Anolis sagrei: one gene and its partner. The main gene of each other region encodes a partner of the protein of the gene in region 2 in a complex. Links are inferred from orthologs where the notes say so. Each region holds a gene or a part of one and is shown on either strand. Other genes may lie near its edges.

What was found.
Region 1: the proteins of BACH1 (region 2) and FBXL17 are in contact, whole or in part, in a cryo-EM structure (PDB 8UAH), measured with the Homo sapiens proteins. The link is inferred for Anolis sagrei from reciprocal best matches to the Homo sapiens genes BACH1 and FBXL17. Residues at the interface, in NP_001177.1 of Homo sapiens: Val20, Leu21, Ser23, Leu24, Gln27, Val32, Leu33, Asp35, Phe39, His48, Arg49, Ser50, Val51, Ala53, Ala54, Cys55, Ser56, Ser57, His60, Ser61, Arg62, Val64, Asn72, Thr74, Pro76, His116, Asn117; in NP_001156787.2 of Homo sapiens: Asp395, Arg421, Asn447, Gln473, Gln498, Glu499, Met524, Arg548, Cys574, Leu575, Tyr598, Val600, Ser601, Asp623, Trp626, Met651, Arg652, Val676, Gln678, Asp679, Cys680, Arg682, Thr683, Glu685, Gln689, Trp692.

What each region holds. Positions count from the first base shown.
Region 1 is NC_090022.1:246,945,780-246,953,974, reverse strand, and holds the start of FBXL17 (F-box/LRR-repeat protein 17), read right to left. Parts: upstream 3,253-8,195; 5' UTR 3,116-3,252; coding exon 2,324-3,115; intron 1-2,323. UniProt on the Homo sapiens protein: Substrate-recognition component of the SCF(FBXL17) E3 ubiquitin ligase complex, a key component of a quality control pathway required to ensure functional dimerization of BTB domain-containing proteins (dimerization quality control, DQC).
Region 2 is NC_090023.1:68,168,714-68,176,738, reverse strand, and holds the start of BACH1 (transcription regulator protein BACH1), read right to left. Parts: upstream 3,267-8,025; 5' UTR 3,118-3,266; intron 1-3,117. UniProt on the Homo sapiens protein: Transcriptional regulator that acts as a repressor or activator, depending on the context. Binds to NF-E2 DNA binding sites. Plays important roles in coordinating transcription activation and repression by MAFK.

The DNA of each region.
Region 1 (8,195 bases), on a different chromosome or scaffold from region 2:
TTGAAATTCTTTCAAAAATATGCCCTGAAAACAGTTTTCTTCTGAGTTTGCGTCTTCGCACTTCACAAAAAATTATTTAATCAAGCTACAACTCTTTTAACTAAAATACCCAGAAATAACATGTGTACTAGATGAATGACTGTGCCATATACATAGGCAGCATTATGCTGAGTAAAAAGCTTAAGGACTTCACCAACAATGAGCGATCATAAAGCAGTTCTATTTGGCTAGAGAACTCATAGACTCCTAGAGTTGGAAGACCATTCAGTCCACAAAGGCCATGCAGGAAAAGACAAGCAAAGTACTCCCTACAGACGGCTAACCAGCCTTAAAAACCTCCAAAGAAGCCTCCACCCTGCTCCAAGGCAGCATATTCCACTGCTGAACAGCTCTTACTGTCAGGAAGTTCTTCCTAATGTTTATGTGAAATCTTTTTTCCTGCAATTTGAATCCATTGCTCCAGTGTTTCCCAGTCTTCAGAGCAGCAGAAAACAAGCCTGCCCTTTTCTCAGTGTGACATCCTTTCAAATATTTGAACAGGTCATTCATGTCTCATCTCAGTCGCTCCAAGCTAAAGACCCAGATCCCGATGCTATTCCTCATTCTAAACCTTTGATAGTTTTGGACGCCCTTCTCTGGACACATTCCAGCTTGTCAAAATCCTTCTCAAATTGCACGGCCCAGAACTGGACACAGAGTGGATCCTGTCTGGTCCTGTCCTTTGGGATATTACTTTACTTTCCAATTTGGTATCATTTGCAAATTTGATAAGCATGCCTTCTATTCTGTCATCCAAGCCACTGATAAATATGTTGAATAGCACTGGGCTCAGGACAGACTCCTTTGGTACCCACTGGCCACTTCTCTCCAGGATGAGGACAGGATCACAATCCAAAATAACTTTAACAAGTTAGAGAGATAGGTCAAAACTAACAAAATGAATTCCAACAGGGAGAAATCCTCACACTGTGGCTCTCCATCTGTTTCGGCCTCCAACTCCTAGAACAGTGGTTCTCAACATGTGGGTCCCAAGATGCTTTGGCCTACAACTCCCAGAAATCCAAACAGATGACAAACTGGCTAGGATTTCTGGGAATTGTAGGCCAAAAGACCTGGGGGGCCCAAAGGTTGAGAACCACTGTCCTAGAAGATCTAGCCAGTTTGTTCAATGGTCGGGAATTCTTGAGGTTGGAGGCCCAAACAACTGGAGAGCCGGAGTTTGACGATGCCTGGTCTAGATCATAGCCCCACTCTATTCTGCTTTGGCCAGACCTCACCTGGAATAACCTTGGCCCACACCTGGGCATCACAGTTTAAGGTCATTGACAAGCTGGAAGGTGTCCAAAATGATCAAATGTTTTGGAACCAAGCCATATGAGGAATGGCTGAGGGATCTGGGTATGTTTCGCTTGGAGAAAAGGTGGCTGAGAAGGGACATGATTTATTTATTGTGTCAGAAGTGAGTTGAGGGTACAGTTAAAATGCATTTAAAAACACAAAGTTTAAAAAAAGAACTTGGCTTTATACTAAATATTATTTGACCAGGGACATGAGTGACATGTTAAAATATATGAAAGGATGTCATGCTGAGGAGGGGGCAACCTTGTTTTCTGATGCTCTGGAGACTAGTACACAATGGATTCAAATTGCAAGAAAAATATTCCCATGAAATGGGAGAAAAAACGTATTTATAGGAAGAGCTGTTTGACAGTCGAATGTGCTGCCTTCAAGCATGGTGGGGCCTCCTCTGGAGGTTTTCAAACAGAACCTGGATGGCCACCTGTCAAGAGTGCTTTGATTGTATTTTCCTGCCTGGGAGAAAGGGGTTGGGCTAGATGGCCCTGAGGAGGGTGTCAGTCTCTTCCACCTCTAAGGTAAGTCCAGTTGTGTTCAACTCTGGGGGTTGGTGCTCATCTCCATTTTTAAGCCAAAGAGCCAGCATTGTCTGTAGATATCTCCGAGGTAAAGTGGCCAGCATTACTGCACGGAGCGCTGTTACCTTCCAGCCAGAGCAGTACCTATTGATCTACTCACCTTTGCATATTTTCAAACTTATAGGTTGGCAGAAGCTGTGGCTAACAGCAGGAGCTGTTCCCCAGATTTGAACCAGCGACCTTTTGGTCAGCAAGTTCAGCAGCTCAGCGGTTTAACCCACGGCACTACCAGGGGGCGGGGCATAAATAAGGTAAATAAATAAATGGCCACCTGTCAGAAGTGCTTTGATTGTATTTTCCTGCGTGGCTGGATGGCAGGGGGAGATCGGTCTCTTCCATCTGCCCCCCCCCCCGCGCCCACATAGTTTGGCCCAAAGTGGTGAGCTCACCTTGAGGAGGATGGAGGGCGGCAGCTGGTTGATGTCCGGGGTGGGGCCGGGGGGCTCCCCGCGAGAGCAGCAGTCGCCGGGGTTTTCGGGGGGCTCCTCGCAGTCGGGGGGCTCTCGCCGGGGCTCCTGCTGGCGCCGCTCGCCCTTCTTGTTCTTCTCCTCGCCCTCCTCCTCCTCCTCCTCGCCGCCGACTCGGGGTGCTTGGGGCCGGGCCCCTTCGGCGGGCAGCGCCCTCCCGGCCCCGTTCTCGCTGGCGGCGGGCTCCCTGGGCTCGGAGGCGGAGGGCAGCGGGCAGGCGAGCTGCGCGGGTGGCGGAAGCGGCGGGGCGGCGCTGTCAGGGCCGGCGGCGATGGCGGCGCAGCGGGGCTGCTTGCGGGGCGGGCAGGCGGGCAGTCCGACGCCTTTGCGCTTGCAGACCATCTCCGGCGGAGCCTGGCCGCTCTCCAGGGCAGGGCCGGGGGCGCCTCGACGCCCGGGAGGGGGCGGCGGCGGCGGCGGCGGGAGGAGGAGTCCGGAGAGCAGCAGGTGCCGGCGGAGGCGTGGGCAGCGGAGGCCGCGCTCTTCCTTCAGCGCCGCCAAGAGGCGCGGGGAGGGCCGCCTGGCCTGCGGGGGCTCCTCGGGGGCGCCGTGGACCAAGAAGCACAGCATGCAAGGCCCGCGGAGGAAGCAGCCCCGGCTCCCGCCGCTCAGCGCCCGGCGGCGGAGGCGAAAGCGGCGGCGGAGGCGGCTCTGCTCCGCGCTGCGTCCCGGCGCGGCTCCCGTTCCCTCCTTCCGCGAGAGAAAGTGGCCCATAAAGGAGGAGGACGCCCTCTCCCTCACGACATGGCCCCTCACAGCTCCACGCAGAACCGGCGAGCCATTCTCAGGCCGGCGACCACAACACAGCCACTTCCGGGATCTCGGCGGAAAAACACTCCTCTTCCGGCGCTCTCGAGGCAAGCAAGCCCCGCCCACGAGCTCGGTTTGTCAACCACCAAAACAAAAAGGCTCCGGGATGCCTTCACTTCCGGCTTCTGAGGGATTTCCCTCTACGCCTGCGCAGTGGAGCTCAAGCTTCGCTCCGCCAGGTTCGTTTAGACTTCAACTCCCAGAAGCCTCAGCCAGCTTGGCCCACTGTCGGGAATCCTGGGAGTTGAAGTCCCGAAACCTACAGGCTCCACTTTTGGGCAGCATTGACATAATAAGACGAGACGGCTAGCGGAATGTGGCCATACAGCGCGAATATCTCACAGCAACGCAGTGATTCCGGCCATGAAAGCCTTCAACAACACATTGACATAATACATGGCTGCCAATCTGCTACCGAACACAATTCAAAATGGGTTGTTGTAGGCTTTTTTCGGGCTGTATGGCCATGGTCTAGAGGCATTCTCTCCTGACGTTTCGCCTGCATTTTGGCAAGCATCCTCAGAGGTAGTGAGGTCTGTTGGAACTAGGCAAAAGGGTTTATATATCTGTGGAAGGACCAGGGTGAGACAAAGGACTCTTCTCTGCTAGAGCTAGGTGTGAATGTTTCAACTGACCACCTTGATTAGCATATAATGGCCTGACAATTCATAATGCTGGCTTTAGCCTATAAAAACCTAAGCAGTTCCGGCCCAGCTTACCTGTCCAAATGTATCTCCTCCTATGAACCATCTAGGAGTTTAAGATCGTCATGGGCAGGGGTCCTCAAACTACAGCCCGGGGGCCGAATATGGCCCTCCAAGGTCATCGACCTGGCCCTCGCTCAGTGGCAACCTAAGTCTGAAACAACTTGCAAGCACACAACTGCAACAACAATTCTTTCTCATCAATCAAAAGCAGGCTCATACTTCCCATTGAAATACTAATAAGTTTATATTTGTTAAAAATTTTCTTCATTTTAATTATTGTATTATTTTAAAGTGTTTTTCTTTCTTTTTTCTTTTTTTTTGCATTACAAATAAGATATGTGCAGTGTGCATAGGAATTCATTCATGCTTTTTTCAAATTATAATTTGGCCCTCCAACAGTTTGAGGGACTGTGACCTGGTCCTCTGTTTAAAAAGTTTGTGGACCTCTGGTCTAGGGAGTCGCTGCTCTCAATCCTGCTTGCCTCACAAGTGCAATTGGCATGGACAAGGGACAGGGCCTTCTCAGTGGTGCCCCCCCCCCCCCCCCAGCTATGGAACTCGCTCCTCAGGGATATTAGATTGTCCCCCCTCCGAAAAAAGGTAAAAACGTAGCTCTTTGAACAAGCTTTTGAGAATGGAGCGGAATAGATAACATGAAACTAGGATTGATAAACAAGAAAGGCTAGACCAGTATTTCTCAACCTGGGGGTCCGGACCCCTGAAGAGGTCGCCAGGGCGTGTCAAGAGAGGTCTTCAAAGACCATCGGAAAACACAGCAATTTCTGTTGGTCATGGCAGTTCTGTGTGGGAAGTTTGGCCCAATCCTATTGTTGGTGGGATTCAGAATGCTCTTTGATTGTAGGTGAACTATAAATCCCAGCAACTACAACTCCCAAATATCAAGGTCTGTTTTCCTCAAACTCCACCAGTGTCCACATTTGGGCATATTGGGTATTTGTGCCAAGTTTGGTCCAGATCTATAATTGTTTGAGTCCACAGTGCTGTCAGGATTCAGGTGAACTACAGCTGCAAAACTCATGAACTTCCAGTATCTTCTGTTGGTCATGGGAGTTCTATGTGTCAGGTTTGGTTCAATTCCATGATTGGTAGAGTTCAGAATACGCTTTAATTGTAGGTGAACTGTAAATCCCAGCAACTTCCAAATGACAAAATCAACCCTCCCACAACCCCACCAGAGTTCAAATTTGGGCATATCGGTGTTGGGACTCAACCTGTGTGTGACCCTGTGTGTGACCTTGAGCCTGAATCTCTGATTGTATTGCCTAATGTGGATAATATTGATGTTAATGTTGAAGGGCCTAGTTTGGATAGTGAGGCTGAAGTGATCAATGAGGATGAGGTTCAGGATGGAGACACTTTGGGCAGTAAAAATCCTACAGGCTTTGATTTAGAGACTACAAGAGAAAAACCAGGTTCTCATGAGAAAGAAAATTCACTCCCTTCTTCTGACTCGAGCTTGCAAGAAAACTTGACACCTGGTTGGGTCAACGATAACAGCCGCAGTTTAGAGATAAGCCAGAGCCACGGGGAAACTCAATGTTTACGTAGGTCCAAGAGAATTCGATAAACAGTGAAAGCGTGTATTGGTTGCAGAGCCTGTAAAAGTGGAAAATAATAACTGCAAGCAAGAGTTATTTGAAGTGATGTCATACTTAATGTCTATTCCTTCTGCCCCTCACATGGACAATTCAGTCAATTACAGTTAAGAACTAAATGGTTATCCCAGAGAATGGAATTTCACATCTTTGGTAGATAAAATGCTGATAAGACTTGTGTACAGTATATATTTAGGAACCGGGGGTGGCAACGGCCGACAGGGAGCCCTGGCATGGGCTTGCCTATGAGGTCACAAAGTTGGAAGCAACTGAATGAATAAACAATAACAATGCCAGTGCATTATTACATAGGGTTGTTGTAGGTTTTTTCGGGCTATATGGCCATGGTCTAGAGGCATTCTCTCCTGACGTTTCGCCTGCATCTATGGCAAGCATCCTCAGAGGTAGAGAGGTCGTAATGTATGTGTTTTTCAGGAATTTTCTCCAGGTTGCATTTGAATTACTCTTAGGACTCTCACTGAAAAAGCACAGAGCTTGAAGTGCTGTGGTCTCTCCGCAGTGCCGCCCCCTTCGGTTTGGTAGAGAAACTGCAATGATTCTATTCGGAACTGAGAGCATTGTACTTGGCAGAAAGCAACCCCGCAGTGGGTGGAAATTGCTCACTTACATCAAAATTTGAATTGAAGTACTGCTTCTACAACACCCAAGTTAAATATGGTTTATATATAAAATATAAAAATATATTATAAAATGTATTATATTTATAATATATATTATATAAAATTATATGTGTGTGTATATATGTATGTATGTATGTATGTATGTATTACATCTGTGTGTATGTGTATAATACATATATATAAATCCAAAACAGCAAACCTTGATTTTGCTATTTTATACAAGAGACAACATTTTACTATGCCATTGTGTATAATAATGAGACTTGAAGTGCTCTTGCCTCTTTAGGTAATATATTGTAGATACCTCCTAATGAAATTATTACCACATTGCTTCTTTTGGGATATTTTTTCTAGTGGAGCAAAGTTAAGTCAGTTTGAAAGACAGCTGGAAGGCTCTGGCTTGTAACTTATCCATTTTGTCCTTAGATGGCAGCATTGTTTCAGGCAAAGTGAAAACTTGTAGCAGCATCAGAGCTAATAAGCAAGCAATCATAAGAAAATTGGAACTAACGATTTCAGTAAGATGAATAAAATGGTCTAAATATCCTAAAGTTACCAGATCCTGCCTATTCTTTGAAACTAAGTAAGATCAGTGCTGGTTAGTACCTGTAGGTTATATTTCAGAGGAAGGAACTGGCAAAGAACCTCTGAATATTATTTGCCATAAAAACCCTACAAAAATCATGATCTTGACATGCAGCTTGAAAGCACATACACACATACTGAATGTGTGAGATGAAACTGAAGATCACACACAAATTTAGAATTAAAAACTGAGCAATTTTCTTCCTAGTTGGTGAATGAATATGCAAGCCATCTTCTATCCTGTATGTATTTGAAAAATAAGTTAATTACAGCGCATGGTGTTAATGTACAACTGGAGGTCCTTTTTCATATGAAGGACTGAGGGAGAAAGGCATTAAGCACAAAGCCTATGACAAATGTAGCTAACGACAAGTGAACCCAGAGCTAAATAATGGTAGAGCGTGTTATGAATAACTTTCCCACACTGGAAAGGCATATCCCATTTCTGACACCAATTTGTCATGAATAACTTTTTAATAACTTTTAAGCATAGGTTCTTTTTATTGTGATTTCCAGTGTGAGAGGGTCTATCAGATTACAGAAAAACGTTTAGACATACAGATTCTATGCAACTACATTGGATTTACAATTACATGGCTAACCAACAAACAAAGGGGAATTACATTTTCAATCACCATTCACACACATGTACATGCATTCATTGTCATGCATCCAAATATTACCATATCCTTTTCTCTCTCCTTGGAGAAGCACCAGTTAGGTCAGACCCTGCTTTCCTGCAACCTGCCAACACATAGATCCAAAACTTCCATAACTTCAAAATGCCAAAACTTATACCCTAAAAACAATGGCAAGGACCAGATCTCTGTTTTCCATACAGCAGAACCTGACTCCCTACACAAAATCCAAGACTCCAAAAGCACACTTCTTCCTCTTCCCTTCAGAAAGAAGTCCCAAAGTGTATAGAATCATGCTTTCCCATAGCATATCTGACACTCGCCAAGTACACCATCTCTGTCCTTCCCATGGAGCAGAGAGGTGGGTGAACCAGACTCCACAGGTCTGTCACACTTTTAGAATTATTAGATTGAGTCTTTTATAGGAATATTCGTTGATGTAGTCCCAAAGTTCTAAATTAATGATAGATGTCATGCATCCTGGTTCCATCTCAGTTTCCTAGCCAGATGTTGATTGTTCTTGAATGGTGTTGATCTTATGTTGACTTCCTTCTTAACATTGTAAATATTTCTGTTGTCACTGTTCCAGTTCGTATCAGAGTTTAATTTTCAGTTCTTATTAGCAACTTTTAATTATGGCCCAGCAAGCAGGCCTTGGTCTTTTACTGGTGTTTCCAGTATTATAGTTATAATATAGTTCACCCACATCAACAAAGCAATGTGTATGCAACTGTTGGATCTGGACCAGACTTGGCACAATTACCCAATATGGCTAATTTTGAATACTAATGGGATTT
Region 2 (8,025 bases):
TTTCTTAAACTATCCAACCAAGGCTTTGGAGACCTATCCTGCGTATGCTTACACAAACATCTCTCACCTTTACTTACATCAGCTTTTACTTTCAAGCCATCTTTTACATCCAGCTTTTGACTTCCTAAAGTTCAGCCTATGCTTGTTTACGTTGAAGGATTCACGAATTTTGGCTAGCCTTGATGTTCAACACCAAGCTACACAGAACTTTTAGAAATAGCCTAAGCACTTCCAAAGTGTACACTCTAATCTCTATCTATATAACTATTTCTTTTCTTAAACCTGAGAGGCACTTCCAAAGCATCTTGATCCTTATGAGTCTTTCAAAAATGTTCAAAACTTTCAGACCTCACAGCAGAACAGAATCTTCTGCTAGAATTAAAAACCTACTCACTGGTAGCAAGCTGAATATGTTCTAATGAATTTAATGGCCTTGTGAAGAAAGACAATGGAGGTGTAGCAGATCAGGGTTTAAGATATACTGTATGCTCTATAAGACACAATGCATGTCCCAATGAGGAAGAGCTGGGCGTTACACACATCACTTTACTTTTTATATATCAGACTATGCCAATAAAGTTACCATTATAGCAAACAAAACTACAGCAATCAAATGGTATCCTTTATTACAAAACCTTTGAAGTTTTCATTGTAGTCATAAAACTAAAGTTGAGACAAGCCTAAATTTTTTTCATTAGATTTTAAATTCAAGCTTTATTTCCAATTTTATCCATTTGCCTTGAAATGGGAGATGTTTAGCTTGCAGTATAATTTGGCAGCATCCAGAGAGGCAAAAGTTCACATCAAGGGAGTAAGGGATCAGAAATTCAGTTGATTATTTAGCTATTTTGACAGAGCTAGAACTTTCTGTCACTCTGGATAGAAAAATAGAGAAGGCAGAATGAGGGAAAGGGGCACAATGGATTGCTTGGGATGTTATTTTGCCATTTTTCCTCATAAACTTACAACCTTGGTCTATCGTTGCCTGTTATATTGAGTTTGCAAATGCCTGCTCAAAAAGCCAGGTTTAAACTTTTTTGCGAAATGTTAAGAGGGAGGGGGCCGATCTAATATCCCTAGGAAGGGCATTCCACAGCCATATACCCACTTGCCTTGTTTCTAACAAACTTCACAACCTCTGAGGATGCCTGTCATACTACGTCATCACACTAGCAAATGAATCCACATAAAAACCGGTTTCTGCCTCCTACAGAATTCTGGGGTTTGTAGTTTAGTGAAGCTGTTAAAGGCTCCTCCCTAAACCCCAGAATTCTGCAGGAGGCAGCAACCAGATTTAAAGTGAATTCATTCTCTAGTGTGATGAGGTGATGTGGGTGAAACATCAGGAGAGAATGCTTTTGGAACATGGCCATACTGCCTAGAAAACTCACAGCAACCCAGTGATTCCAGCCATGAAAGATTTCGACAACACTTGTGAAAAAGCTTTTAAAACTCCACGTTTCATACATGACTTCATGCAAATAATGCTGTTAATGATACTATAATAGATGTCAAGGTAATATAAGCAAAACGACATAAGCAAGATCTCATTTTTAAAAAGTAGGTTGAACTACCACTCAGGCAACAGGATTTCCTGTAGGTTTACCACAACAACATCTGTTTCTCACAAAACTCTTTTCAGAACCAATATCAGCAATGAGTCTTATGTCACTGTGTGTGTTATTTGGCATAAACTTTTCCAGCTGGCACAAAATTATACACCAAAAGAATCTTATGAGTCCTTAAAATCTTTGCTGCATTTGCTGCTATAACCTCAAAGGCCGTCGATTCCCCCAAACAAGTCTCTTTAATAGCAATCTAGCCCTACAACGAGATGCTACAACAGACTGGACTAGCACTGAAACTCTATTAGTCATAATAAACTGGTGATAATTTAACAATTTTTAAAATTGTAATTATTTTTAAAAATGACTGATTTTTCAGCTGTTTACATTGGCTTTGGAAGGAAGGCAGATTGTGAAATGAGTAATTATTATTACTCATTCCCCAGAACCTTTAAGGCAGGCCAGGGCAAACTTGAGCTCTCCAGGTGTTTTGGACTCTTAAGCAGCTGAGAGGGAAAAGGAAAGGGCCTCAGGCTATTAGGAATTATGGGAGTTGAAGTCCAAACACCTCGAGGGCCAAAGTTTGCCCAGGCCTGCTTTAAGGGATAACTTTAGCGTGTAGGGAGTATCTATTGTAGCTCTAATGAGGTTCAATTATCCTTTTAACTGCCATGGCTGTGGAATTATGGGATCTGTAGTTTGTTGGGGCAGCAGGACTCTTGGGGCCCTTCCACACAGCCCTATAACCAAGGATATCAAGGCGGAATAACCCATAATATCTGGTTTGAACTGGAATTTATGTATTTATTTATTTACGACATTTATATGCTGCTCTTCTAACCCCAAAGAGGACTCAGAGCGGCTTACAAGTTTTATATATATATATATATATATATATGCACAATATATTATATTATTAGCATAGTACAGTATCAGTATTATATATCACTATATTGTACTATACCATTACATTGTAATATTATTAGTAATATTACATGCAATATGAAATATATAATTATAATATCATATATTATTAGTATTACATTGTACTACATTATAAATATTACATATATATACAATATATTATATTTATATATATATATATATATATATACATGGCAGTGTGGACTCAGATAACCCAGTTCAAAGCAGATGTTGTGGGTTATTCTGCCTTGATGTTCTGGCTGTGTGGAGGGGCCCTTGGTCAGAGAAGGCTAAAAACCTGGTAAAGCTATCTATATTTTCCATGAGCCATGGCAGTGAAGCCATTAATTCTTCACTGTAGATACACCCTTGGATATCCCACAACGAAAACCACCCCACACGTCCTCATTATCGTGCCCAATATACGCCCCCTTTCACCCCAGTCCTGGACTGGGACTTCCCTTCCCAAAGCAAGGAGGCAACAAGCGCAGGCTCAGGGACTCCAGTCCTGGGATGTGCGCATGCGCAATGGGACTCTCCTCCCCTCCCCTCCTCCCTCCCCGCTCCTGCTCCCTCAAGACCCGGCTCCCACGGCGCGAGAGGCCTCTTCGCTCGCCCGCCCACTCACCCGCCTCGGGCCCATAAGCGCGCGGCCCTTCCCGGGAACGCCGGCCATGCAACCTCCTTCCCTCAGGGCCAGCTCGACCGCGGATCCTGCCAGCGCCGCGAACACCCGACCCACCACAGTCAGGTGACCACCTCAGAACCGCCTCCGCCCCCTGCGCGCTCATTGGGCGCCGGATTCCGATGACGTCCACTTTCTCCCTCTTTCCTCCCTACGCGGCGCCTTCCCCTTCTGTTTTGATGCGCATGCGTCGCTCTCGCGCTCTCTTCTTCTTACCCCCCCCCCCCCCCGCACGTTTTCTCAGGTAATAGAGCGGCGCGTCGTCATTGCTCCGAAGGTCTCCCCGCGAGCGTCCCTTCGCCAGTGGCGCGCGCTTGATTCAAGGTTCTCGCGCCCAAAGGGAGGTTTGCCCAGCATGAGGCGTTTCCCGCGCCTCAGTGTCGGGCTGTACAAACACATCAAAACGATCAGCCAGGCTTTGAAGCTGCAAGGTCATCAAATGCTAATCATGGTCGCCAATTACAACATAATAATATAATAATTATAATATATTAATAACATAATATATAAATGTTTGTATATATATATATATATATATATACATACACATACATACTAGCTGTACCCGCCACACGTTGCTGTGACCAACCTTCCCTCCCTCTTCCTCTTCTTTCCTTCCCTCTTTCTTTCCCCTTTTTTTCTCTCATTCCTTCTCTCCTTCCTCCCTCCCTTCCTCCCACCTTTTCCTTCCTTTTCTCTTTCTCCCCTTTCTTCCTTCTCTACCTATTCTTGGACTGCAACTCCCAGCAGTCCTCCTGATCCATCTAGCCACCTACCTATCTCTATGTAATCTATCTGGAGGATTGCTGGGAGTTGCAGTCCAGGAATAGGAAATTGGAGATATGCAGGGATTGGGATGCTCTCGAAGAAATGTAAGGAGAAGAAAGCTTGCACCTTGGAATTAGTGCATTTGGATCATCCTCCTCTCCTAAAGGGTCTGGTCAAGGGGATGCTGGGAGCTGTAATCCAGAAGAGGGTGTGGATATGCTATTATATGTTTTGTTTGCTGGGGAGTCGTTTGTGTGCATGTGCTATTGCATATTTTTGCTTTTTTTGGCTTTTAAGTTGCTTCCGCTATGTTTTCCAGTGTTTTTATGAGTGATGGTCACTCGTTGGCCTCATAAGTGTATTGTGCCCAAATTTGGTGTCAATGCATCCAGTGGTTTTTGAGTTATGTTAATCCCACGAACGAACATTATCTATCCATCTATCTATCTATCTATACACACACACACTTGGCTCTTCAAGCAAGCTTTTGGAAATGCAGTGGAATAGTTAACATGAAACTATGAATAATGAACATGGGTGATTGTATGATAGCTGGGTCCCCCTGCTATGAGCGCTACACAGATGCCGCAAAGGGAAGGGATTGCATGGTGGAGAGAGGAACCGGAGTGAGAGTGGGGAGAGCGAGACACTGAGGGCGGGAATATACTTTATAATATAATAATAACACTTTATTTGTACCCCGCTACCATCTCCCCAAGGGACTTGGTGCGACTTACATGAGGCCAAGCCCGCAATACATCAATAAACAGAACATCAATAAAATAAACATCAATAAACAATCAATGCAATATAAATCATAATCACATAAACAAAATAGACAATAAGCAATCAACAGTAACATATAAACATTTAAAACCAAAGGCCGGGCCAAATGTGATAAATTTAAATTAAAAAAATAGTGCTTATGTGAACCAGGTAGGATATAATTGGGATAGAAATACCTTTCTGACCGCATCTTGGCCTACGAGCCCACGAGGACCTTGAGATCGTCTGGGGAGGCCCTTCTCTCGATCCCGCCTGCATCACAGGCACGGCTGGCGGGGACGAGGGAGAGGGCCTTCTCGGTGGTGGCCCCCCGGCTGTGGAACACTCTCCCGGCACACATCAGACAGGCGCCCTCCCTCATGTCCTTTCGAAAAAGCCTTAAGACCTGGCTGTTCGAGAGGGCATTTAATTAAGTGGTAAGCAACAACATTACGGTAATGAGAACTGGAATGGTATAAGGAAGATGAGACTGGCTATGATTCTACTAAGAGACGAAGCGGATTTTTATGTAGTTTGTATTTGTCGTATAGTTATATGTTGTTGATACTGGCCTTTGTAACTGTCTTTTTATGTGTACTGTACACCGCCATGAGTCGCCCGTAAGGGCTGAGAATGGCGGTTAATAAGTGCATCAAATAAATAAATAAATAAATAAATAGGATTTTTAGAGAGAATGAGGGAATGCAGTCAATCCTAAAGCAGTAGTAAAGTGCATTTTGAGGACATAATGCTGAGGGTTTTCCTTATTCTGGGAAGGCACACTGGAACAACCACATTTTCAAGCTCCTCCTAAAGACTGCCAGAGATGGGGCATGTCTGATGTCTCTGGGAAGTGAGTTCCAGAGTCGGGGGGCCACCACCGAGAAGGCCCTTTCCCTCGGCCCCACCAATCGCTCCTGCGAAAGAGGCGGGAGCGTGATCAGGGCCTCTCCAGATGATCGAAGAGATCGTGTGGGTTCGTATACAGAAATGTGGCCATTTCAGTTGCATTTGAAGGAAGGATAGTAAGGAGGGGAGGGTAAGGGTTGGGATTAGGGTTAGGGTGAGGGTAAGGGTTACATTTTAGGGTTAGGGGTTAGTGTTAGAGTTAAGTATTATCTGTTATTATCTGTGTCTGACCTGGCTTACATTACCTCAGTCTCTCACTGCCCCCCCCCCCCCCCCCGGTCTCAGTAACGTGTTCCATTCTGTGTTGCAGAAACAGCGTAATGCTTGTAGCAGGGGGACCCAGCTATCATACAACCACCTGAACATGGAATAGCTAGAAGATGCTATTGGAAAATGATTTTAACAGGACAACACTGGTGACTATATGATTTAATGATTGTAATGGTTTTTATATGATTATGCTAATTGTTTTAATCGTATTTTTATGACTGTATGGCATCGAATGGTTGCCAATCTGTAACCCGCCTTAGGGCTGAGAAAGGTGGCCTATAAATGTAGTAAATAAATATAATAAAATATAATATAATAATAACATAATAATATATAAATGTCATAAATAAATAATAAAAATAATAAAGCTTCATTTATATACCACCTTATCTCCCCAAGAGGACTCAGGGTGGTTTCCAACATAAGGCAAAACATTCATTTGCCAGAAAGGAAAACCATACAAACAAATTAAAATAAACATCATAAAACAAACGTAAAATTCTGCTAAAACAAACACAAAAATTTAAAAACCTTTATAACTCTATCAGACAAGTTCAAAATACCATTGGGCCAGAATTGCAACATGGGCATGGCCCACTATGAAACGCCTGGGCAAGGGCTAATGCAATAGAGTATCATGGGCCAGGGAAGTGGATAAAGTGCAGAGCCTACAGACTAATCATTCTCAAAAACCAGCCAGGTTTTGAGGTCCCTATGGAAGGAGGACAGTGTGGGAGCTTGCCTAATCTCTTTGGGGAGGGAGTTCCAAAGTCAGGGGGCCACCACTGAGAAGGCCCTGGCAGATCTTCTAGCCCGTGCAGGTTCATAGGTGGAGATGCGATCATGAAGAGAGGCAGAGCCCAAACATTAACACTTGCCTCAAGCCGACAAGAGTTCTTTCTCCCACCCAGAACTTTCCACAGACATATACACTCCACTTGCCTAGTTTCCAACAGAAACCTCAACCTCTGTTTTTGTGAAATTATATTATATTAGTGTAATTATGTTTTATTTAAGTTTTATTTAAGTAGCTGTATTTCGTATTACTTTAACCTTAATTATTTTCTGGTAATTAGTTTATTACTGTCCATTTTGCATTCCTGATGATGTGTGATTTTAAATTATGGCATTGAATATTTGCCTTTTTATATGTATATAAACTGCCCTTTGAGGAGAGAGGATGGTCTAGAAATTATTATTATTATTATTATTATTATTATTATTATTTCCCAAATTTCTCATAAAGCTTTCCATTACCAGGATTGGTTTCATTCACAAAATTTGGCGTAGAAAACGAAGCTTGTGCTTCTCTGGCTTTCTTCCAGTTTCCATTAGTGAGAATTTATCAGTTTATATTGCTTTGACAGAAATACGCTGCTACTGGTAGAAAACAAATATGCTTGAGCTAATTAGGAGCAATATTAATAATTCAGCTGTTTTTCTTGGAGTGACATTTGATTCTGCTGTAATTAGTGTATTTATTTCTAACCCCTTTCCGTGAAAAACCAAAATATTCTCAGTTGGATCCAAAACTTAGCTCTGGGTTTATGCCAGTTATATTTCTAAATATCGGAAGTGGTTTTGTATATTTTTATTTTCTAACTGAATAGAGGAAAAAATAAGGTATTTCCATTAGTTTCCGTGCTTCAACCGCCATCTATCCCATCCTCTCTCAAATTATACATAGCGTTGGCAAGTGGGGTTTATATATCTGTTAAATGTCCAGGATGGGAGAAAGAACTCTTATCTGTTTGAGGCAAGTGTCAATGTTGCAATTGGCCAGCTTGATTAACAAACACTCTGATGAAATACATTGGGGGAGTGGGGAGGAAAATATTTGCTCCAACTTCTGTTTCCCATTAAAAGGTAAACTGCCAGTGGAGGGAGCTCAAGCCCCGCAGTGCTATGAAATCTAACCATGAAGGAGGAGATACTGGGATGAAGATCCAAAGATTAATATGTAAATTAATGTTCCCAGCATTAGAGACAAACAATTATTTTTACATTATGTTTTAGAAGCCTGTTTTTTCCATCCTATTTAAGGAAGTAGTTTTTTGCAGCATAAAAAGGAGAAAGAAAGTGGGAGGATAGAAAAAGAAATCAGGCAGCACCTTTAAGACTAATTGGTTTTTATTTTGG